4 linked regions of the Drosophila melanogaster genome follow. The gene in region 1 interacts genetically with each later gene. Each region holds a gene or a part of one and is shown in the gene's direction. Other genes may lie near its edges.

Region 1 (4,264 bases):
ATCAATATTTCAACTTATAAATAAAGTTGCTATCTAGAACTATAATTATTAGTTTTGTAATTTAAAACATAAATTTAACAAAATGAGAAAATACATATTTAAAAATATATTTTGTAAAAATAATACAAACATACATAGTTAAAAGTTAATATTTATAAAATAAATAAAAATATGCGACCTTTCTATTGTAAAATGTGCACAGATGCACTTGTCGGTTGTCACTGGATGCGTAAAAACAGCTGATGGCTGTAGAGTTCTCCGCCCTCTTGCTCCTAAACAAAAATTAAGAGCAGAATACTTTATATCCACCTTCTACTTCCTGAATTCTAGACATTTCTTACTGAGAGACAGGCGGCCCAAGAGATCTTAATCTTAATTGCTTGTACCTTTTGAAAGAATCTAGTATAACTTTTACTGGACGAATTCTAGACTATTAAAAATGTGATGATATATCAACACATTTATTAAAAGTGCGATCGTGACAGTTTTATGCGGCTTGTGAGCGCTAGAGTGGGCTTGGCAAAATGGGTTAACAAACTTGCGCTGCATCTTTGTCTCTAAAATCTGTATGCTTAATCTTAACCTTCTACCTTTAATAGTTCCTGAGATCTCGGCGTTCATACGGACAGAAGGACACAGCCAGATCGACTCGGCTATTGATGCTGATCATGAATATATACATATAGTGACGTATTCGGGTGGTCCAAACCGGCCACTTCAATTAAAACAGTATTGCACTTAATTGATTTTCCATAATGTATCCCAGCTGCGCAGCATCCGTTTCTAATAAAGAATTCTTTGGCAGCGGCACTCAGCCGTTCTTGTAAACATCCTAAAACCTGACATAAGCCGATTTGACTGCTCTCTTTGAACCTTCTCCTTATCTTAAGAACCCAAGAGCGAGGCTCTCCCGAGATACAAATATTGTTCAAATAATGAGGGTTCTCTCAATTCAATTTGCATTTGATTTTTACTCTTAAAAAAACTAAAACGTTAAAACTATTTCTCCGATCATTTTTTATTTCTTAGCGTTGTCCTTAGTCAACTGACGGGGCATTTATTCGACTCAAATAAAAAATATAACAACTAATTTTACTATATATATGTATATATTTTACTGTATATCGGAAACGCTTCCTTCTGTCTTTTACATATGTACATTTCAACGAATCTAGTATACCCTTTTACTCTACGGTTAACGGGTATAATAAGTTCTTTCTAAATGATTATGCTTATCATTTTAACAACAACATTTTAACCAAAAACGGTGTGATGACCAAACCATTTTCATATTCAGCATGAATTTACCGATTCAGACAAATCGTTCATACATACAAACAATATTATTACTTTACCATTAAACAAACCATTTCCAAGAAAGAATTTTTCATAGACCTAAAGCACATCGACTTTGTGGGTGGATATACATACATATGTACAATTTTTCGACTCAACTGTTTACACTGTAGTTTTACGAAAGAGAATTTCGATTTAAAAAATTTTTAGTTTTCGATGGTCGACCATTTGATTTATAAATAAGCAGTATTATCTTTAATTAGGCTGCTTTTAACTGCAAGTGCAGTTTATTCATACGATTACAAAGCATGACGATAGATGATTATGCTATTAGGTTTGATTAAACCATTTTTATGAAATATAAATTATTATATTATAAATATAAATTAATTATAAATTTACAAACTCTTATTCCATTCCAGAATCGATAGTTCTGGAATGATACTAGTGCTCAGCAACGCCAAAACAGTCAATAATAGATATTTGAAGTGTCAGCGGAATCGACGTCTGACAAAACAACTGCTTCACTTCATTAGAATTGTGTGATATATTCCACAGACCAGATCATTGGAAGAGAAGTCAATCGTGCGTGAGAGAAGCCAGAAGAGAAGCCACCCGCGACATTCCGAAGTAACCATTTCTGTAGGGTCAGACGTACATACAAACAACATTCATATAAATTGCTCGTGCTGTTCATTGGTTACCGCCTTTAGTCGCTACCTCGCTCGCACACGCGCTCAACACCTACCCTTACCCGTCAAAAATACCGACCTTCTTCTTGCCACGCCCGTAAAGATGGCTCCTAAGAAGCATAGTGGGTTTATGATGTTCGTAAACGAGTGGAGAAACCGGAACGCCGAGGGCCGACGCATGACGCTGGCGCAGGCTGTTTCCCACTGCGGCACCATATGGGAGGTAAGTTTTGGTCGATGCTGCGGATCTACCCTGTAATAAATGAAGCCTTTTCAGAAAATGAACACCCAGCAGCGTGGTCCGTACAACTCAGGCGGCAAGGACGCAAATGTGGCGCAACGCGCCAAAAGGGAAAGTTCCAACGGCCACGGCCAGGTGGACAAGGCCCAAAGGGAGGCCACCGAGAGCTTGATGGACATGAAACGTACCATCGAGCGCCTCGTGCTAAACGCCAAGATGTCCCATGGTAAGTCACACATTTCGAAGACATTTGGATTCGACTAACTCCAATCGCTGCCGCAGATCTGGAGAATGCCAAGTTTGTCTTCGTTGCCTTCAACTACTTCACTAAAGCCTTGACCACCGACGTCTATGTGCCCGCCGAGTTTGCGGCATGCGAATATTCGTTGAAGGAGGGAATCCGATCCATCTACAGCACCATGATTGACCCCGGTCAGATCATTTTTGGGCAAGGTAGCGATGCCCTGCTTCACTCTTCAACCACTCACGACCTGCCGCTGCCGCCCAACGCGCTGGGGGAGAAGAACATGACCAAGCTGTACCGCAACATTGTTGACTACTTATCCAAATGCCAGGGAAAAGGCAAGACCCTAGTAGTCTTTACACCCGCCGAAAATATTACCATGGTGAAGTCATGCTTCCGCTATTTGGAGTGCGATGATGACTTCAGGGACGGGGGCGAAAAAATCCAGGTGTTTGATATCCAGTACTTGCTATTCATATTGAAGAAGGAGGTCATGAATGTCGCTGATTTGAATGACGAGAAAATCAACAAATTCGCGACGGATGCTTTTTTTAAGAAAGACTTTTTCGAGTTTACCGCAGGGATTGCGTGTCAGGTAAGATTCTGTTCCCAATTCTGATAACCCCTAGTTGACTTCCTTCCTGATTACTTTTGCAGTACCACGAGGATAATGATCGAACCAAGTACTGTACCCAGAGTATGGTGACTAGATGGGCGTATACCTTCACTGATTTTATGTGCGGAGACCTGGCCATAACCGTCCAACCCGGAAAGCACATACCTGCCCAAACAAAACCCAACTACCTTATCATAAGCTCGTACGCCTCCTCACTCGACCACGAGTCCTCCTTCGACTCTTTTTATTCGCTTCCCGGATCTGGGGTCAAGAAGGAAAGCCAACCCGAAGCTTGTTCGCTTTCTAGCAGTCGACTTTCCGTCGCATCAAGCTCCTACAAGCCCATAGACCACACTTCCTTTGCCGCAAATTTAAACGAAGTTTCTGAATTCCCCAGCCTCGGCATGCGTAATTCTAGTAAGCATCACGGTATCGCCGCTAGTGCTCAGCGGGAATGGAACGCTAGGAACTTACCGACGCACTCGCGTTTAATTCGGAAGGTTTCAGACAACGACTTCTCCGTAAACGGCGCTGATGGGAAACTTAAAAAATAAGCCACTTTGGTCTATCAATTGGACTAAGAAACAATGATTCCTTATAGATAATTTTCTTATCGCATTAAACTGTACAAATACTATTACTTGTATTTAAAAATAAATTCGTTCAAACGGACAGGGCCAGCATCAAGTATTTATTTATTTTAGTTCTGCTAAATAAATATTTTTAAGACCTAATATGTGGGCAGTAATGAAAGAAAGACATGATATTTTTGATGGCGACAAATTCTAATTAGCTAAGTGGGGCCAAGCTCAAAATAATCTATGTTTATGGTATTCCATGGAAATGCAGTTGTGCCATTAGAAACTGCTCCTATTAAAACCCCTGTTAAATATTGTGCATAAAATTGTTCAACGGGTCATTATAATACAAAGTGCAAAGGCCAAAAAGAGTCGAGTTCATATTCTTACACTTGTAGCTTTTTAAGTGGCTCGACTTGGAGAGGAGTTTTTAGAGTTGCGAGATACAGATGCAATGCTTTGCGGATCTTGCTGAAGCACGAGACGAGTAAAGGCTAAGCTGAGGAGAAGTGCCTGGCCTAGAAGCTCGCGCTGGTAGCGCTCTTGTTGTGAGAATTCGAGGCGTAGGTCAGCGGGAAAGTCGATCTGTTTGTGCAG
Region 2 (7,685 bases), on another chromosome or scaffold:
TCGAAGTACTCACATTAGATGCGGTCGGTATAAGCTGGCTGCGGCAATTCTGAAGATCTTCTATAGAATCATCACCCATATGCCCATAGAACTGCAACTCCTCCGGAGAACCTCCGGCTGTGATGAGAGTATATATTTTGGTATCCATTGCTCCAACGGCCAGCAGTTGGTTGGCTTGCTGCCTGGAATTGTGATTATAAATAATTAGGTGTTTGCAGCGAAGAGCTCGAAGCGCCGACAAGTCACTGGTCAAAATCAAGCCAATCATTGGTTCTCCATCGGCAAGAGAATTAAATAAGTTCACTTTTTGGGGACCATCTAGCTGCGCATGGTCCAAACTATAACTCTGACAGTATCCCCTGACCAGGGTGAGGCAATCCTCACTGTTTGCCAAGATGCAGCACTTCTCGCCTCGCTCCGCCACTAAGTGATCCAGCATTACGTGTAGAAACTCGAACTTGGCGGAGTCGTAAAGTCCCATGCTTGGCCAAGGCGGCAGTATGGCGTCCAGTACCTCCATTATTTCCTTAAACACTGGATTCGTACCCAAAGTTTTTAGGAGCACAGGATGATCACATACAATTTGGAAGATTTCCTTCAACGTAGACGATTCCTGAAATACAAGTTTTTTGATTTGTTTATGCATGTAAATTGGTCTAAATCTATCTTACTGTTTTAGATGTTTGTGCATATTCAGAAACAAAGAGTAATATTTTTTTCTGCAGTTCAGCTGGAGTTAATAGACACAGATATTCCGATTGGGTGAACTCCTTGGTAGGGTTTTCTATCTTCAAAGTGTTTTGTTCATAGATTTTCTTTCCCATCGAAGTGCTGGAATCGGCGGCTGCATAGGAGACATGTTTATCTTCTCTATGTTGGCTAATTTCCAAATGCGGTGGAGCAAAGGCATCTGCCTCGCGCTTGATCTTCTTGAGCAGATGAGACCTAACGGGTGCACTGTCAGCAGGTGGTGGCGATGTGTCTGTACAACCATTCTGGGCATCTATTTTTTGGCACCAGTTGGCTATTTCCAACTGGCGCTGAATAAGGCACTCCTCGACGGTTTTAATCTCCTCCTGAATCTCGACATCCTTGCTGCCTACTTCCAGCTGATCGTTCTCCTGAAGTTGCCGCTGCTTAAAGTATGTCATGGTGTCCACAACCTTGCCGGTGTCATCCTTCAATGTTACTATGGATCCCGTGACCACCAGCGTTCCGTTGCCAGTCCACGTTTTGTGCTTTTTGGTGGTCTGATTACGCCAGAGCACATGGAAGATGCGGCTATCTTTGAGGGGATTCTCGCCCGCCCTGAATTCTCGAGGTCCCAGGCTTTGGGTGCCCCCTGAGGTGCCCCATTCGCTGGGTAGATTGTTTTTGGGCCAGGAGCAGGGTGACTGTGGTTCCTCTTTGGGAGGCGCCGCTTCGCTCTCTCGCTTTGCAGCGCGGCGCATGGAAGGAGCTTTGGAACGCCGCTTTATGGTGCTAAAGAAGAGGATTACCGGGTATAGTTCACCGTAAATACATAAGTTAATTTAAAAACTTTTGCTATCAACAAAATATAAATATACAAGGCGCAATCTATTTTCAAGCCACTTGTAAGTGTGGCCAATGAAGTGAACCTCGAAAGGTATTCCGAACCCTGGTCACACTGGCATTCTGCTGGTAGCCGGCTCTGGATGATTTTCTGATAGAAATCTCGCAGAGGCAGTGGTGTTTTTGTGAATCCCCTCAGCCACGATGGCGTTCCACTGGTGCGACAACAATCTGCACACCACCGTGTTCACGCCGCGCGACTTTCAGGTGGAGCTACTGGCCACCGCCTACGAGCGGAACACGATTATTTGCCTGGGCCATCGAAGTTCCAAGGAGTTTATAGCCCTCAAGCTGCTCCAGGAGCTGTCGCGTCGAGCACGCCGACATGGTCGTGTCAGTGTCTATCTCAGTTGCGAGGTTGGCACCAGCACGGAACCATGCTCCATCTACACGATGCTCACCCACTTGACTGACCTGCGGGTGTGGCAGGAGCAGCCGGATATGCAAATTCCCTTTGATCATTGCTGGACGGACTATCACGTTTCCATCCTACGGCCAGAGGGATTTCTTTATCTGCTCGAAACTCGCGAGCTGCTGCTGAGCAGCGTCGAACTGATCGTGCTGGAAGATTGTCATGACAGCGCCGTTTATCAGAGGATAAGGCCTCTGTTCGAGAATCACATTATGCCAGCGCCACCGGCGGACAGGCCACGGATTCTCGGACTCGCTGGACCGCTGCACAGCGCCGGATGTGAGCTGCAGCAACTGAGCGCCATGCTGGCCACCCTGGAGCAGAGTGTGCTTTGCCAGATCGAGACGGCCAGTGATATTGTCACCGTGTTGCGTTACTGTTCCCGACCGCACGAATACATCGTACAGTGCGCCCCCTTCGAGATGGACGAACTGTCCCTGGTGCTTGCCGATGTGCTCAACACACACAAGTCCTTTTTATTGGACCACCGCTACGATCCCTACGAAATCTACGGCACAGACCAGTTTATGGACGAACTGAAAGACATACCCGATCCCAAGGTGGACCCCCTGAACGTCATCAACTCACTACTGGTCGTGCTGCACGAGATGGGTCCTTGGTGCACGCAGCGGGCTGCACATCACTTTTACCAATGCAATGAGAAGTTAAAGGTGAAGACGCCGCACGAACGTCACTACTTGCTGTACTGCCTAGTGAGCACGGCCCTTATCCAACTGTACTCCCTCTGCGAACACGCATTCCATCGACATTTAGGAAGTGGCAGCGATTCACGCCAGACCATCGAACGCTATTCCAGCCCCAAGGTGCGACGTCTGTTGCAGACACTGAGGTGCTTCAAGCCGGAAGAGGTGCACACCCAAGCGGACGGACTGCGCAGAATGCGGCATCAGGTGGATCAGGCGGACTTCAATCGGTTATCTCATACGCTGGAAAGCAAGTGCCGAATGGTGGATCAAATGGACCAACCGCCGACGGAGACACGAGCCCTGGTGGCCACTCTTGAGCAGATTCTGCACACGACAGAGGACAGGCAGACGAACAGAAGCGCCGCTCGGGTGACTCCTACTCCTACTCCCGCTCATGCGAAGCCGAAACCTAGCTCTGGTGCCAACACTGCACAACCACGAACTCGTAGACGTGTGTACACCAGGCGCCACCACCGGGATCACAATGATGGCAGCGACACGCTCTGCGCACTGATTTACTGCAACCAGAACCACACGGCTCGCGTGCTCTTTGAGCTTCTAGCGGAGATTAGCAGACGTGATCCCGATCTCAAGTTCCTACGCTGCCAGTACACCACGGACCGGGTGGCAGATCCCACCACGGAGCCCAAAGAGGCTGAGTTGGAGCACCGGCGGCAGGAAGAGGTGCTAAAGCGCTTCCGCATGCATGACTGCAATGTCCTGATCGGTACTTCGGTGCTGGAAGAGGGCATCGATGTGCCCAAGTGCAATTTGGTTGTGCGCTGGGATCCGCCAACCACATATCGCAGTTACGTTCAGTGCAAAGGTCGAGCCCGTGCTGCTCCAGCCTATCATGTCATTCTCGTCGCTCCGAGTTATAAAAGCCCAACTGTGGGGTCAGTGCAGCTGACCGATCGGAGTCATCGGTATATTTGCGCGACTGGTGATACTACAGAGGCGGACAGCGACTCTGATGATTCAGCGATGCCAAACTCGTCCGGCTCGGATCCCTATACTTTTGGCACGGCACGCGGAACCGTGAAGATCCTCAACCCCGAAGTGTTCAGTAAACAACCACCGACAGCGTGCGACATTAAGCTGCAGGAGATCCAGGACGAATTGCCAGCCGCAGCGCAGCTGGATACGAGCAACTCCAGCGACGAAGCCGTCAGCATGAGTAACACGTCTCCAAGCGAGAGCAGTACAGAACAAAAATCCAGACGCTTCCAGTGCGAGCTGAGCTCTTTAACGGAGCCAGAAGACACAAGTGATACTACAGCCGAAATCGATACTGCTCATAGTTTAGCCAGCACCACGAAGGACTTGGTGCATCAAATGGCACAGTATCGCGAAATCGAGCAGATGCTGCTATCCAAGTGCGCCAACACAGAGCCGCCGGAGCAGGAGCAGAGTGAGGCGGAACGTTTTAGTGCCTGCCTGGCCGCATACCGACCCAAGCCGCACCTGCTAACAGGCGCCTCCGTGGATCTGGGTTCTGCTATAGCTTTGGTCAACAAGTACTGCGCCCGACTGCCAAGCGACACGTTCACCAAGTTGACGGCGTTGTGGCGCTGCACCCGAAACGAAAGGGCTGGAGTGACCCTGTTTCAGTACACACTCCGTCTGCCCATCAACTCGCCATTGAAGCATGACATTGTGGTAAGTACTTGTAATACGAATTATTTAAGATTTGTTAAATACTCTTCTTTAGGGTCTTCCGATGCCAACTCAAACATTGGCCCGCCGACTGGCTGCCTTGCAGGCTTGCGTGGAACTGCACAGGATCGGTGAGTTAGACGATCAGTTGCAGCCTATCGGCAAGGAGGGATTTCGTGCCCTGGAGCCGGACTGGGAGTGCTTTGAACTGGAGCCAGAGGACGAACAGATTGTGCAGCTAAGCGATGAACCACGTCCGGGAACAACGAAGCGTCGTCAGTACTATTACAAACGCATTGCATCCGAATTTTGCGATTGCCGTCCCGTTGCCGGAGCGCCATGCTATTTGTACTTTATCCAACTGACGCTCCAATGTCCGATTCCCGAAGAGCAAAACACGCGGGGACGCAAGATTTATCCGCCCGAAGATGCGCAGCAGGGATTCGGCATTCTAACCACCAAACGGATACCCAAGCTGAGTGCTTTCTCGATATTCACGCGTTCCGGTGAGGTGAAGGTTTCCCTGGAGTTAGCTAAGGAACGCGTGATTCTAACTAGCGAACAAATAGTCTGCATCAACGGATTTTTAAACTACACGTTCACCAATGTACTGCGTTTGCAAAAGTTTCTGATGCTCTTCGATCCGGACTCCACGGAAAATTGTGTATTCATTGTGCCCACCGTGAAGGCACCAGCTGGCGGCAAGCACATCGACTGGCAGTTTCTGGAGCTGATCCAAGCGAATGGAAATACAATGCCACGGGCAGTGCCCGATGAGGAGCGCCAGGCGCAGCCGTTTGATCCGCAACGCTTCCAGGATGCCGTCGTTATGCCGTGGTATCGCAACCAGGATCAACCGCAGTATTTCTATGTGGCGGAGATATGTCCACATCTATCCCCACTCAGCTGCTTCCCTGGTGACAACTACCGCACGTTCAAGCACTACTACCTCGTCAAGTATGGTCTGACCATACAGAATACCTCGCAGCCGCTATTGGACGTGGATCACACCAGTGCGCGGTTAAACTTCCTCACGCCACGATACGTTAATCGCAAGGGCGTTGCTCTGCCCACTAGTTCGGAGGAGACAAAGCGGGCAAAGCGCGAGAATCTCGAACAGAAGCAGATCCTTGTGCCAGAGCTCTGCACTGTGCATCCATTCCCCGCCTCCTTGTGGCGAACTGCCGTGTGCCTGCCCTGCATCCTGTACCGCATAAATGGTCTTCTATTGGCCGACGATATTCGGAAACAGGTTTCTGCGGATCTGGGGCTGGGAAGGCAACAGATCGAAGATGAGGATTTCGAGTGGCCCATGCTGGACTTTGGGTGGAGTCTATCGGAGGTGCTCAAGAAATCGCGGGAGTCCAAACAAAAGGAGTCCCTTAAGGATGATACTATTAATGGCAAAGACTTAGCTGATGTTGAAAAGAAACCGACTAGCGAGGAGACCCAACTAGATAAGGATTCAAAAGACGATAAGGTTGAGAAAAGTGCTATTGAACTAATCATTGAGGGAGAGGAGAAGCTGCAAGAGGCTGATGACTTCATTGAGATAGGCACTTGGTCAAACGATATGGCCGACGATATAGCTAGTTTTAACCAAGAAGACGACGACGAGGATGACGCCTTCCATCTCCCAGTTTTACCGGCAAACGTTAAGTTCTGTAAGTTATTTAAATCCCTTGCTAAGGATCAGAAATAATCCCTAATACATCTTACAGGTGATCAGCAAACGCGCTACGGTTCGCCCACATTTTGGGATGTGAGCAATGGCGAAAGCGGCTTCAAGGGTCCAAAGAGCAGTCAGAATAAGCAGGGTGGCAAGGGCAAAGCAAAGGGTCCGGCAAAGCCCACATTTAACTATTATGACTCGGACAATTCGCTGGGTTCCAGCTACGATGACGACGATAACGCAGGTCCGCTCAATTACATGCATCACAACTACAGTTCGGATGACGACGATGTGGCAGATGATATCGATGCGGGACGCATTGCGTTCACCTCCAAGAATGAAGCGGAGACTATTGAAACCGCACAGGAAGTGGAAAAGCGCCAGAAGCAGCTGTCCATCATCCAGGCGACCAATGCTAACGAGCGGCAGTATCAGCAGACAAAGAACCTGCTCATTGGATTCAATTTTAAGCATGAGGACCAGAAGGAACCTGCCACTATAAGATATGAAGAATCCATAGCTAAGCTCAAAACGGAAATAGAATCCGGCGGCATGTTGGTGCCGCACGACCAGCAGTTGGTTCTAAAAAGAAGTGATGCCGCTGAGGCTCAGGTTGCAAAGGTATCGATGATGGAGCTATTGAAGCAGCTGCTGCCGTATGTAAATGAAGATGTGCTGGCCAAAAAGCTGGGTGATAGGCGCGAGCTTCTGCTGTCGGATTTGGTAGAGCTAAATGCAGATTGGGTAGCGCGACATGAGCAGGAGACCTACAATGTAATGGGATGCGGAGATAGTTTTGACAACTATAACGATCATCATCGGCTGAACTTGGATGAAAAGCAACTGAAACTGCAATACGAACGAATTGAAATTGAGCCACCTACTTCCACGAAGGCCATAACCTCAGCCATATTACCAGCTGGCTTCAGTTTCGATCGACAACCGGATCTAGTGGGCCATCCAGGACCCAGTCCCAGCATCATTTTGCAAGCCCTCACAATGTCCAATGCTAACGATGGCATCAATCTGGAGCGACTGGAGACAATTGGAGATTCCTTTCTAAAGTATGCCATTACCACCTACTTGTACATCACCTACGAGAATGTGCACGAGGGAAAACTAAGTCACCTGCGCTCCAAGCAGGTTGCCAATCTCAATCTCTATCGTCTGGGCAGACGTAAGAGACTGGGTGAATATATGATAGCCACTAAATTCGAGCCGCACGACAATTGGCTGCCACCCTGCTACTACGTGCCAAAGGAGCTAGAGAAGGCGCTCATCGAGGCGAAGATCCCCACTCACCATTGGAAGCTGGCCGATCTGCTAGACATTAAGAACCTAAGCAGTGTGCAAATCTGCGAGATGGTTCGCGAAAAAGCCGATGCCCTGGGCTTGGAGCAGAATGGGGGTGCCCAAAATGGACAACTTGACGACTCCAATGATAGCTGCAATGATTTTAGCTGTTTTATTCCCTACAACCTTGTTTCGCAACACAGCATTCCGGATAAGTCTATTGCCGATTGCGTCGAAGCCCTCATTGGAGCCTATCTCATTGAGTGCGGACCCCGAGGGGCTTTACTCTTTATGGCCTGGCTGGGCGTGAGAGTGCTCCCTATCACAAGGCAGTTGGACGGGGGTAACCAGG
Region 3 (5,775 bases), about 10 Mb from region 1:
AGTTCGAAGCACATTGCCCTCAGTGTCGATTGAGCAGTTCTGCTGCGGAATCACAATTTTTAATGGCGGCACTTTGAGTCCTCCGTTGTATAGGCTGTCGTTACTCTTGTAATCATCGCTGCACTCCGTTTCGTTCTCAATATCTACATTCTTACTAGTCTCCGCCGGCTCCTTTTCGGCATTGGAAGCGCTGCTTTTGTTTCCTGACGGGGATCCCTTCGTTGCAGCTAGCTTGGAGCTTTTCTCCACGCGCGATGTGAGCTTCAGGGAGGCCCCCTTCACGTCCTTTCCATGCTCCGAATCCTTGCGCTTCTTTTTCTTTACGTCCTCGCCAGATTCCTCGTAGTCCTCCTCTATGTCTGAGTAGCAGCGCTTGGCAGCCGAAGTTCCCTGATGATTCGTATCGCTGGATTTACCATCGTTGCTGCTCTCCTCCGCTGAAGATTTGTCTTTCGTGTCCAGGACCTCTTGCTTCTCATTCAGGCTGCCCTCGTCAGTCTCTGCGTCTCCTTTCTTGCATTCATTCTTCTTTAAGGTGGTGCGGGATGAATCTGCAAGAACGAGAATCTTATACATTACATTTGACGGCTGTGTGATTTAGTTTGGAAGATCATGTAGGAAGTAAAATGAAAGCTTATTGTCTATCGGATATCTTTTCGGGTGGAATTTGTAGTTATGTTTGAAGGAAAACCAACTAAAATGATTTTGTGTGAAAACTAAGAACTTAAGCATCGTTAAATGAGTTGTTTTTAATTTTGGTTTCTAAAGTATTAGCTCGGATAAGAGACAGGGTTTTTTTGACATCTTTACACATATTTCTTCAATAATAATTGGTATCTTCATTTGAATCAGTTAAATGACAATTTATCCGCAATCGAAACCAGTTTCTCGGATACTTTTACATTATTCCTGACTCTCAGATACATTTATGTATGTACATACGTAGATATGTACATGCATAGATGTATATGCGTGTAAGTATGTACGCAGCGAAGTACCCACGATGTAAATTGAAATTCAAGCCGACGAGCAAAAGTTCTAAGCTTTGTGACTGAACTATAAAATCCACTTGAATCATGTGAAAAGTAGACATTCACTTAATTATTTTGCTTATTTACCTGTCGACGAGTTGGCTGTCATTTGGATGAGCAGAGCCATTTGCTGCCTCTCCGACATTGGCGTGTTTGAGTTCGATCTGGGTTGGGTAGCTCCTGTATTAAATCCTATCCCCTTCGGTCTTGGGGGTGGCATACTCTTTTGTTCAGTTTTAGACGGTAAAAATTAAAATATAGAACAAAAACGGAGACTTGAAAAAGTCTTGCAAAATTTATTACAAAAAGAATAGTGCGACCGTATCGTGAATACAAAAATATGCCAGCTTGCTAATATAATAACGATGTTTTCAAATCCATTAAGTTAACAACAAATTAATTTATATATTATGTGTACAAATTTCAAGATACACCTTTAATTAGTTCCAAAAATTAAATTTTTTATTGAACTAAATCAATACCTGCTCCACCAAGGTATGTGCGTTTGTTGACCTCCAACATGTTATAGATGCTTACAAATAGCATGTTGCGCATTATTACTTTTAACTACTACTTTATTTATACTACATCTTAGCTATTATACGAAGTCTTATTGTTAGTCTACCCGATTTTTTCAGGAATTTTCATTTCTTTAGTTAGTGTTTCGATTCCACTGCGTTCTCCTCCCGACAGTGTGACCACTACTGCACAGTTGAAGAAAATCCTAGCTTGTCAAACACAATTCAACGCCCCGGCTACGGTCACACTCAGTTTTATTTTAGAAGTTTTGCAGTGTAAGATATTTTTATAGCAAATCTACGCACTATTTCGCTTATTTGAGGAGTTTGCAGAGCAAAACCGCTGGTAATAAGTTACAATATTTGAATGCACTGCGCGATAACTTGCATAATCATTTCCAACTGGATTTCGAACGACAAAATCCATTCACCCACACACAAACACATCTACTTGAGCTTATCTGTGTATGTACATATGTTGCACATAAATATAAGTGACTGCCACTTGAAGAAAAGTTTTTTACTGGAAAATATGATTCGTTTTACATAAATAATCAAGTCTAGTTGGAAAAGTGCTCGGCGGCAGCTCGTGTGGCAAAGTAAACACAAATGGAGGCCTAAGGCCTAAGTAATCGTTTAGCATGATAAATACTAAATACAATCTCTTAATGCCACTAACTTTTATGTTTAAGTGTTCATAGATATTATGTACAAAAAGTGACTCACTTTTTAATACACTGGAATTAGTGAGCTGGGGTGTTGTAACCCCATTTGCAATATTTATAATCTGACTATTCCAATCACAATATTTGGCGATCTTGATTAAGAATAAAGCTATTTTCTCGAAAATCAACTTACAATCTCATTTTACGCAATCTAGATTTCCGATTCGAAAGGCAAATGACTAAAGAAAACTATAATTTTGAATATGTTAGGGTACTAATAGCTTCGGTCTCTAAAAAACTATACAATTTATTTTAGTTGATGTAAGCAGCTACTTTTGCCATTCGTTTTTTGTTTATTGCATGACGCCAAGTGTAATTAACTTTCGCCCATAATTATAACCATAATAAACGAACTAAATGGCCTTAAACACTTTTTAACGAAGTGTCATGTTTATGTAAATCACACCGGCAATGTTGATAAATAATAAATAAAAGAAAGTTTTCAAAGCACAGTATTCGATATAAATCGAATATGCTTCCACCATTAGTTTCCAATTAGAAAACATAATTGAATGAACTGGAATTTGTTTGGCTTAAAAGTAAATTGAAGTTAACTTAATCCAGAAAGTTGATCCCTTACTTTTAATAGTTTCTGTAGTTTCTAAAAGTTATTGTTACAGCGAATGTAATAGCGCGGGCATTTTCGATTATCAACCACCTTTTTTAACGTGCATGCGCACTGCGAATTTTCTTTTTCATCGTATTGATTAACGCAGCTAGAATCGTTTAATATACGGTTAAAATGATTGTCTCCAAAGCTATCAAATCATACAGGATGTAAAACACATCAAATACCTCGATTAACACCTTTTAATTTTGATATCATTCATGTTGTTACACTTTCAGATGTCAGAGGGTTGTAGGAGCACTTACTAATCTGTATTTTGTATGTGTTTTGTAGACAGAAAATTGAGAAAATCGGCAAAATGACGCAAATGTCGCAGGACGAAATCATAACCAATACGAAAACAGTCCTTCAAGGCCTCGAAGCCTTGCGAGTGGAGCATGTTTCGATTATGAACGGAATCGCCGAGGTGCAGAAGGACAATGAAAAGTCGGACATGCTGCGAAAGAACATCGAGAACATCGAACTGGGCCTCAGCGAGGCCCAGGTGATGATGGCCCTGACATCCCATCTGCAGAACATCGAGGCCGAGAAGCACAAGCTTAAGACACAGGTGCGCCGCCTCCACCAGGAGAACGCCTGGCTTCGCGACGAGCTGGCCAACACTCAGCAAAAGTTCCAGGCATCCGAGCAGCTGGTGGCCCAACTAGAGGAGGAGAAGAAGCACCTGGAGTTCATGGCGTCCGTGAAGAAGTACGACGAGAATCAGGAGCAGGACGACGCTTGCGACAAGTCCCGCACCGATCCCGTGGTCGAGCTATTCCCGGACGAGGAAAACGAGGACAGACACAACATGTCGCCCACTCCGCCCAGCCAGTTCGCCAACCAGACTTCCGGCTACGAGATTCCAGCGCGTCTCCGTACTCTGCACAACCTGGTCATTCAGTATGCATCGCAGGGAAGGTAAGTCATCATCCATGCATTTTATTTTACTCGTGAGCACTAAAGAAACCCCTTACCTACAACATCGTTATCTATCAATTCATCATTAACTATAATAGCCTAATATATTTCTAGATACGAGGTAGCCGTTCCCCTCTGCAAGCAAGCATTGGAAGATCTCGAAAGGACAAGTGGTCACGACCATCCCGATGTAGCAACCATGCTGAACATTTTGGCTCTCGTGTACCGCGATCAGGTGCGTCTACGCTTTGATTAACTTAATTTATACAATCGTTAATTAACAACATCTCGTGCCATACAGAACAAGTATAAGGAGGCCGCCAATTTACTCAACGACGCTCTGTCGATTCGAGGAAAGACACTGGGCGAGAACCATCCAGCCGTGGCGGCCACGTTGAACAACTTGGCCGTCCTCTATGGCAAACGTGGCAAGTACAAAGATGCCGAGCCACTGTGCAAGCGTGCCTTGGAGATCCGAGAGAAAGTCCTGGGAAAGGATCATCCCGATGTTGCCAAGCAACTTAACAATCTCGCCCTGCTCTGCCAGAATCAGGGCAAATACGACGAGGTTGAGAAGTACTACCAGCGAGCTCTCGACATCTACGAATCAAAGTTGGGTCCCGATGATCCCAACGTGGCCAAGACAAAGAATAATCTGGCCGGCTGCTATCTGAAGCAAGGTAGATACACCGAAGCTGAAATCCTCTATAAGCAGGTCTTGACGCGAGCCCACGAACGTGAGTTTGGAGCCATCGACAGCAAAAACAAGCCCATTTGGCAGGTAATGTTGTGTTGTTGTGCTGTTATGCCTGGTAAATACTCAAAAGTTCCTTTTCTTACTACAATTTTCAGGTGGCTGAGGAGCGTGAGGAGCACAAATTCGATAACAGGGAGAACACTCCATATGGCGAGTACGGCGGTTGGCATAAGGCCGCTAAAGTGGATTCGCCCACGGTCACAACCACTCTAAAAAATCTGGGAGCACTTTACCGACGTCAAGGCATGTTTGAAGCGGCCGAAACCCTGGAAGACTGTGCAATGCGGAGTAAAAAAGAAGCCTACGATCTAGCTAAACAAACGAAGCTCTCACAATTGCTAACGTCAAACGAAAAGCGACGATCGAAGGCAATTAAAGAGGATTTGGATTTCTCTGAGGAGGTGAGTTTCAAAATCGAATCACTTAACTTAATTAACTTAAATTAATCATTCCCATTTATTCTTGCAGAAGAATGCGAAACCATAAAAATATTATTTGTTCATCGCCCACAACGGAATCTTTAAGTTTATGATTGAAAGCTAACAGCAAACACACACTTTATTTATTCATTCCTTAATATACATAAGCTCTCAAGCATACATTAGCAAATAAACAACGTTTTATACCTTGTTATTTCAAAAAATATGTACCGCTTTTAATAATAAACCAAATATATTTAACATAATCCTGTTTGTATTTAAACCTTCAAAACTAAACCAAAAATACGGACCAGATATAGCACATTACAGTGGAATCAGCTTAACATTTATTATTGATAACAAACAGTACGATTAGTTTGCCTACGATAACTGAGTATCAGTTAGTCGCTATCATTGTCATTTAAAATCGAGGAAACTATGCCTGCAAACTGCTCAGCCCGATCCAGAAATTGTTCCCGAGTGAGACTCGTATCGTTACGTAGATTTTGCGCCGTGAGGAGTAAGTTTTCAAAGTCCTTCAGCTGACTATCCAGCTCGTCGGCACTGATTTCCTCCTTGTGATCTGCAAATCAATAGGACGAAATGGATTATTGGTTTCTCAACTCAAATCCTGGGCACTAACCAGAACCAAACTTGACATTGGACCAAACTACGTTTTTCAAACCCTCCACAACTTCCTCGTAGTCCTTTTCAGCTTCATCTGGGTCACTCTCAACATTGCTTCTCAATGTTATGATGTCAAAAAGGAAATTCGTTTTCTCCTTAATTTCTCCAAA
Region 4 (5,181 bases), on another chromosome or scaffold:
GAGACTGCTTCATCTATACCAACTCGGTGAACCGCATCAACTACTACGTGGGCGGCGAGATTGTGACAGTATCCCACTTAGACCGCACAATGTATCTGCTGGGCTACGTGCCCAAGGACAATCGTATTTACCTCGGCGATAAGGAGTTGAACGTGATCAGTTTCTGTCTGCAGCTGTCCGTGCTGGAGTACCAGACGGCGGTTATGCGAAGAGACTTTGAGCGCGCAGACGTTGTGCTACCGACCATTCCCAAGGAGCACCGCACTAGGGTGGCACATTTTCTGGAGAAACAGGGCTTTAAGTCGCAGGCCCTGCAAGTCTCTACCGATGCCGACCATAAGTTTGACTTGGCCTTACAGATCGGAGATTTGGAAATCGCCTTAAAGCTGGCCCGTGAGTCGGAGAACTCCCAGAAGTGGTCACAGCTGGCAGATGTGGCGTCTAGCAAGAACAACATGTCTCTGGTTAAAGAGTGCATGCAGAAGGCAAACGACTTAAGCGGTCTATTGCTGCTCTCAACAGCTTCCGGCGATGCCCAGCTGCTCGAGGTGGTGGGTGCGGCTGGCTCGGCCCAGGGACATCACAATCTAGCTTTCCTCTCGGCGTTCCTTCGTTCAGACGTGGAACGCTGCTTGGAGATTCTCATTGAGACAAATCGGTTGCCAGAGGCAGCGTTCTTTGCCCGCACCTACCTGCCCAGCCAGATGTCAAGGATCGTAGAGCTTTGGCGGGAGAAGCTTGGAAAGGTCAACGAAAAGGCGGGACAGTCGCTGGCCGATCCGGCACAGTATACAAATCTCTTCCCTGGCCTGGGCGATGCGCTGCGGGTGGAGCAGCATTTGCAGGAGGAGCGAGCTCGTAAGGCGCCGGCACGCCTCGCTGCGAATCTACCACTGAATAGCGAACGTCATCCTCTGCAAGAACTATTTGCCGCCGAGCAGGGTGCCGCCGGCCAGCATTTGGAGGAGAAGGTGAAGCCAGCTTACGTTCCCGCTCAAGCTGTTGTTTCTAGCAGCCAGGTGGCCGAGCCTACATCCGCTGCGGATGACGACGACGACCTGGACTTGGAAATAGATGGAATTACGTTGGATGATAACATTGATACGACAGATGTGAACCTCGATGACGATTTTCTAAGCGACGATTAGGACGGAAGATCACAGCCAGATCTAGAATACCATTTAAACTATCGTTTACTGCTACGGGAGTCCCACATTTCGTGCATTTCGAGCCACAGAATTCCGCGCATGCATTCACATTTGATTTGATTGAATGTTGTTTAAATATATATCTATTAATAATATGTACAACAGTAATGGAGCAAACACTGCAATAAATACTTATACAACAATTTCAAATATGGCGCTCACTTCAACTATTTCGATTACATTCTGATATCTTATCGATAAAACTTTTAAACAAACTTACGATCATGCCAGGAGAAATTAAAAATTATTTTTGTTCTTTTTTTTTTTTGAGTTAAATTAGTATTCATGGTCTATTTTATTATATATTTGTACAAAAAAATGTTCTGTACCTGTTACATACATTTATTTCAACATATTTACTCTACGAGTAGGGGGTGTAATAAGTAGGCAATCCAAAAAAAGTCTGGCAACCACAAATATCAGTAAAATACATACAATTCGTGTGTGCGTCTGGATTTTGCTGTATTTTTTATTTAAGAATGAATTATTAACTAACCATTAATAAATTATTATTAAATAAAAAACAGTTAAAACCGCGATTCAAACGTGAGTACTCCCCGAATTTCGGCGAGAGTGTCAACTGGACTTTTCGCCCGCTATTCGTCGGTGATGTATCGATTTTTCAAACAACAATTACCCCGAAATTTTAAACAGATACACACCGAATCCTCCCGAAAACCGTGCAAAACAAGAACACCATGGACCAGGAGAATTTCCACGGCTCCAGCTTGCCGCAGCAGCTACAGAACCTCCACATCCAGCCGCAGCAGGCGTCCCCCAATCCTGTCCAGACGGGATTTGCTCCACGGCGGCACTATAATAACCTTGTCGGCCTGGGCAATGGAAATGCCGTCAGTGGTAGTCCGGTGAAGGGTGCTCCGCTGGGGCAGCGCCATGTGAAGCTCAAGAAGGAGAAGATATCCGCCCAGGTTGCGCAGCTGTCTCAGCCAGGTCAGCTGCAGCTGTCAGATGTTGGTGATCCTGCCTTGGCGGGCGGATCGGGCTTACAAGGTGGAGTCGGCCTTATGGGCGTAATATTGCCCAGCGACGAGGCCTTAAAGTTCGTCAGCGAAACGGACGCCAATGGACTGGCCATGAAGACGCCCGTCAGCATTCTGCAAGAGCTGCTAAGCCGACGAGGAATTACTCCCGGCTATGAACTTGTCCAGATCGAGGGCGCCATACATGAGCCGACCTTCCGGTTTCGCGTGTCCTTTAAAGACAAGGATACGCCCTTCACGGCCATGGGGGCAGGACGATCGAAGAAGGAGGCCAAGCATGCGGCGGCCCGTGCGCTCATCGACAAGCTGATCGGCGCGCAGCTGCCGGAATCGCCTAGCAGCTCCGCTGGTCCGTCGGTGACTGGGCTCACGGTCGCCGGAAGCGGAGGAGACGGCAATGCCAATGCCACAGGCGGAGGAGAGTGAGTTTTTATTCTATTGATGTCTAAGATATGATTCTAAGATATCCAATTTATTGTATTATGTCCTTGCAGTGCCAGCGACAAGACCGTTGGTAATCCGATTGGCTGGTTGCAGGAAATGTGCATGCAACGGCGATGGCCACCGCCGTCGTACGAAACGGAAACGGAAGTGGGTCTTCCCCACGAGCGGCTCTTTACGATCGCCTGCTCGATACTCAACTACCGCGAGATGGGCAAGGGCAAAAGCAAGAAGATAGCCAAGCGCTTGGCCGCCCACCGCATGTGGATGCGTCTGCAGGAGACTCCCATCGATTCGGGCAAAATCAGCGACAGCATCTGCGGCGAGTTGGAGGGCGAAGTGAGTATCATTCAAGACATCGATCGTTACGAGCAAGTCTCTAAAGATTTTGAGTTCATCAAGATCTAACCCACAAGCAATTTTCTAATATTTTTAGTGCAATTATTTTGAATGCAGTCCCATGCTTTAGTTTATAAAATTTTAAAAATTGATTTTATCAAATATATGTCATAAATGTTATATATTATTTAATACGTTTGTCCTCTATCCCTTCTCAAATGTAATGTAGAACGTTTAGAGTAATCCTCAGTTGTAAATATCCCTATAATCTTTTAAATTATGTATCTAGCTAGAGTTTTAGTACTATAGCATCCCTTTTATAGTGTGCTATCTGATATTTTTTATTGTCCTTGTTTTTATAACTAATGTTTTTGACATAATTATACATATAATTAACATAATGCTTACACCTTATTTATATTTCTGGTTTTATTTATGGTTTATATTGGCTTATTTCATTTTTCATTTTTCATATTGTTCCTTGGCATGGTGATTGTTTTAAAGAACGAATCTGTAAAGCACCTTTTCCACACAAAAGTGATATGTTTCAACTCACCATTGGCGTGTGTGATTTCAAATGTGTGCGAAATGCAATGGAGAAAAGAAACCAAAAACTTTGCGCTCTTATTTACAGCCCCGCAGTAGTGAAAATTATTATGGTGAATTGAAAGATATCTCTGTGCCGACACTGACCACGCAGCACAGTAACAAAGTATCCCAGTTCCATAAGACCCTAAAAAATGCAACGGGCAAAAAACTGCTTAAGTTACAGGTAAATTTCAATCCAATAACGCTTTTTATTCAAAAACGATCACAAACATATTTCCAACATTCAAAACCTGCTTTCGAAAGTACATATTTGCCTTAACCCCTCACAATCCTTATAATAATAGTGTTCTTGCTTGAAAGTTCAAAGTTTAATTTGACTCTGCTAATTCGACTCCATTTGTATTTTTTTCAGAAGACTTGCTTGAAGAACAACAAGATTGATTACATCAAGCTGCTGGGCGAAATCGCCACGGAGAACCAGTTCGAGGTGACCTATGTGGACATAGAGGAGAAGACCTTCTCTGGCCAGTTCCAGTGCCTGGTTCAACTGTCCACGCTGCCCGTTGGCGTTTGCCACGGCAGCGGACCAACAGCTGCCGATGCCCAGCGGCATGCCGCCCAGAATGCCCTCGAGTACTTGAAGATCATGACCAAGAAGTAGGGGGTGCAGCCAACTGAATAGCAAAATCTGAACGCACACCACGACCACGATCACGAGTATTTGATGAGAGCGATTACCGAGTGGATACGGGATAACTAATGCACCAGTCTAATTGCTTTTCTTTCCACTTTTTGGCTCAATGCAGTGGCGATGTTACATATATATATATATATATTTTGTTTCTTTTCCACCGATTCCTTTGATTAGGCAGTTGTATTTGTTAACTGCATATGTAAATGTTCATATATGTACTACACTTACCGATGAATGTATGTACGCTTGCAAATACAGACAAGCGTGTAATCGATATTGGAATCTTCTAGTCGCTTTCAAATTCTGAAAAACGTAAAACGGCAGATAAAACTAGGTTTAAGGTAGACTACGTGCTAGTTTGCGAAGGAAAAAGGCTTATGAATATAATCGGTATTTGGTAATCGCTACTTTTGCAGTTTTCTTTTCCTTGGGCTGAAAAACTTTGTAAACTCCGAATTAAAGGGCATTGATGAATTGAAATTAATCAATCCAACTTTAGAAATATTCTGTGAAAACATCTTTTATGATATGGAATTATTTAACTACAAATTAGTTAGGAAATAAATTGACAAATATAATACTGAAGTTATAGTAGCCGTGGCTTTATTTAAATAGGTAATTTTGTGCTTAATCTAAAGTAGTATTCTAAGTAATCATAAAGGATTGCATCTATTTCTTCTTTCTGTCCTGCGTACACTTGGGACAGAACCACTTGCCCTTTGGCTTTGTGGTGAGGCCAACACAAGCGAAGTGAAACCACTCGATGGGACACTAAAATGGTAGAGTGAAAGATCTAGAACTGACCACAGAGTACATCAAAATCGAATACTCACGTCGGGATTGTCGCAGCCAATCATCTCTCCATAGGACACCTGGTGGCATAGGCAATATGTGGGCTCATTGGGATCGACGGGCATGTCCATAACGTCGCTGGGATGAGTGGCGGCCG

What was found.
Region 2: of mael (region 1) and Dcr-1, changing one suppresses a phenotype caused by changing the other (phenotypic suppression), as found in Drosophila melanogaster (one study listed by BioGRID).
Region 3: of mael (region 1) and Klc, changing one enhances a phenotype caused by changing the other (phenotypic enhancement), as found in Drosophila melanogaster (one study listed by BioGRID).
Region 4: of mael (region 1) and loqs, changing one suppresses a phenotype caused by changing the other (phenotypic suppression), as found in Drosophila melanogaster (one study listed by BioGRID).

Annotation. Positions count from the first base shown.
Region 1 is NT_037436.4:22,722,475-22,726,738, forward strand, and holds mael (maelstrom), read left to right. Parts: upstream 1-1,758; 5' UTR 1,759-2,091; coding exon 2,092-2,211; intron 2,212-2,256; coding exon 2,257-2,455; intron 2,456-2,511; coding exon 2,512-3,068; intron 3,069-3,130; coding exon 3,131-3,643; 3' UTR 3,644-3,760; downstream 3,761-4,264. Other genes in the region: CG14450 (uncharacterized protein), read right to left, coding at 4,070-4,264. UniProt on the Drosophila melanogaster protein: Involved both in the piRNA and miRNA metabolic processes. As a component of the meiotic nuage, plays a central role during oogenesis by repressing transposable elements and preventing their mobilization, which is essential for the germline integrity.
Region 2 is NT_033777.3:22,735,083-22,742,767, reverse strand, and holds the start of Dcr-1 (Dicer-1), read left to right. Parts: upstream 1-1,676; 5' UTR 1,677-1,737; coding exon 1,738-4,371; intron 4,372-4,423; coding exon 4,424-6,032; intron 6,033-6,089; coding exon 6,090-7,685. Other genes in the region: CG6985 (uncharacterized protein), read right to left, coding at 14-613, 672-1,451. UniProt on the Drosophila melanogaster protein: Endoribonuclease which functions in microRNA- (miRNA) gene silencing and, independently of its ribonuclease III activity, also acts in the short interfering RNA- (siRNA) gene silencing pathway.
Region 3 is NT_037436.4:12,746,083-12,751,857, reverse strand, and holds Klc (kinesin light chain), read left to right. Parts: upstream 1-1,801; 5' UTR 1,802-1,895; intron 1,896-2,018; exon of another isoform or gene 2,019-2,148; intron 2,149-2,959; exon of another isoform or gene 2,960-3,051; intron 3,052-3,175; 5' UTR 3,176-3,200; coding exon 3,201-3,802; intron 3,803-3,916; coding exon 3,917-4,037; intron 4,038-4,103; coding exon 4,104-4,583; intron 4,584-4,654; coding exon 4,655-4,960; intron 4,961-5,027; coding exon 5,028-5,045; 3' UTR 5,046-5,242; downstream 5,243-5,775. Other genes in the region: CG10984 (uncharacterized protein), read right to left, coding at 1-551, 1,003-1,056, 1,119-1,251; CG32109 (uncharacterized protein), read right to left, coding at 5,380-5,561, 5,622-5,775. UniProt on the Drosophila melanogaster protein: Kinesin is a microtubule-associated force-producing protein that may play a role in organelle transport. The light chain may function in coupling of cargo to the heavy chain or in the modulation of its ATPase activity.
Region 4 is NT_033779.5:13,381,034-13,386,214, forward strand, and holds loqs (loquacious), read left to right. Parts: upstream 1-1,618; 5' UTR 1,619-1,754; intron 1,755-1,862; 5' UTR 1,863-1,906; coding exon 1,907-2,631; intron 2,632-2,703; coding exon 2,704-2,989; coding exon of another isoform or gene 2,990-3,058; exon of another isoform or gene 3,059-3,132; intron 3,133-3,493; coding exon of another isoform or gene 3,494-3,623; coding exon 3,624-3,761; intron 3,762-3,788; exon of another isoform or gene 3,789-3,950; coding exon 3,951-4,199; 3' UTR 4,200-4,638; downstream 4,639-5,181. Other genes in the region: beta'COP (coat protein (coatomer) beta'), read left to right, coding at 1-1,148; Ing5 (inhibitor of growth family member 5), read right to left, coding at 4,902-5,003, 5,066-5,181.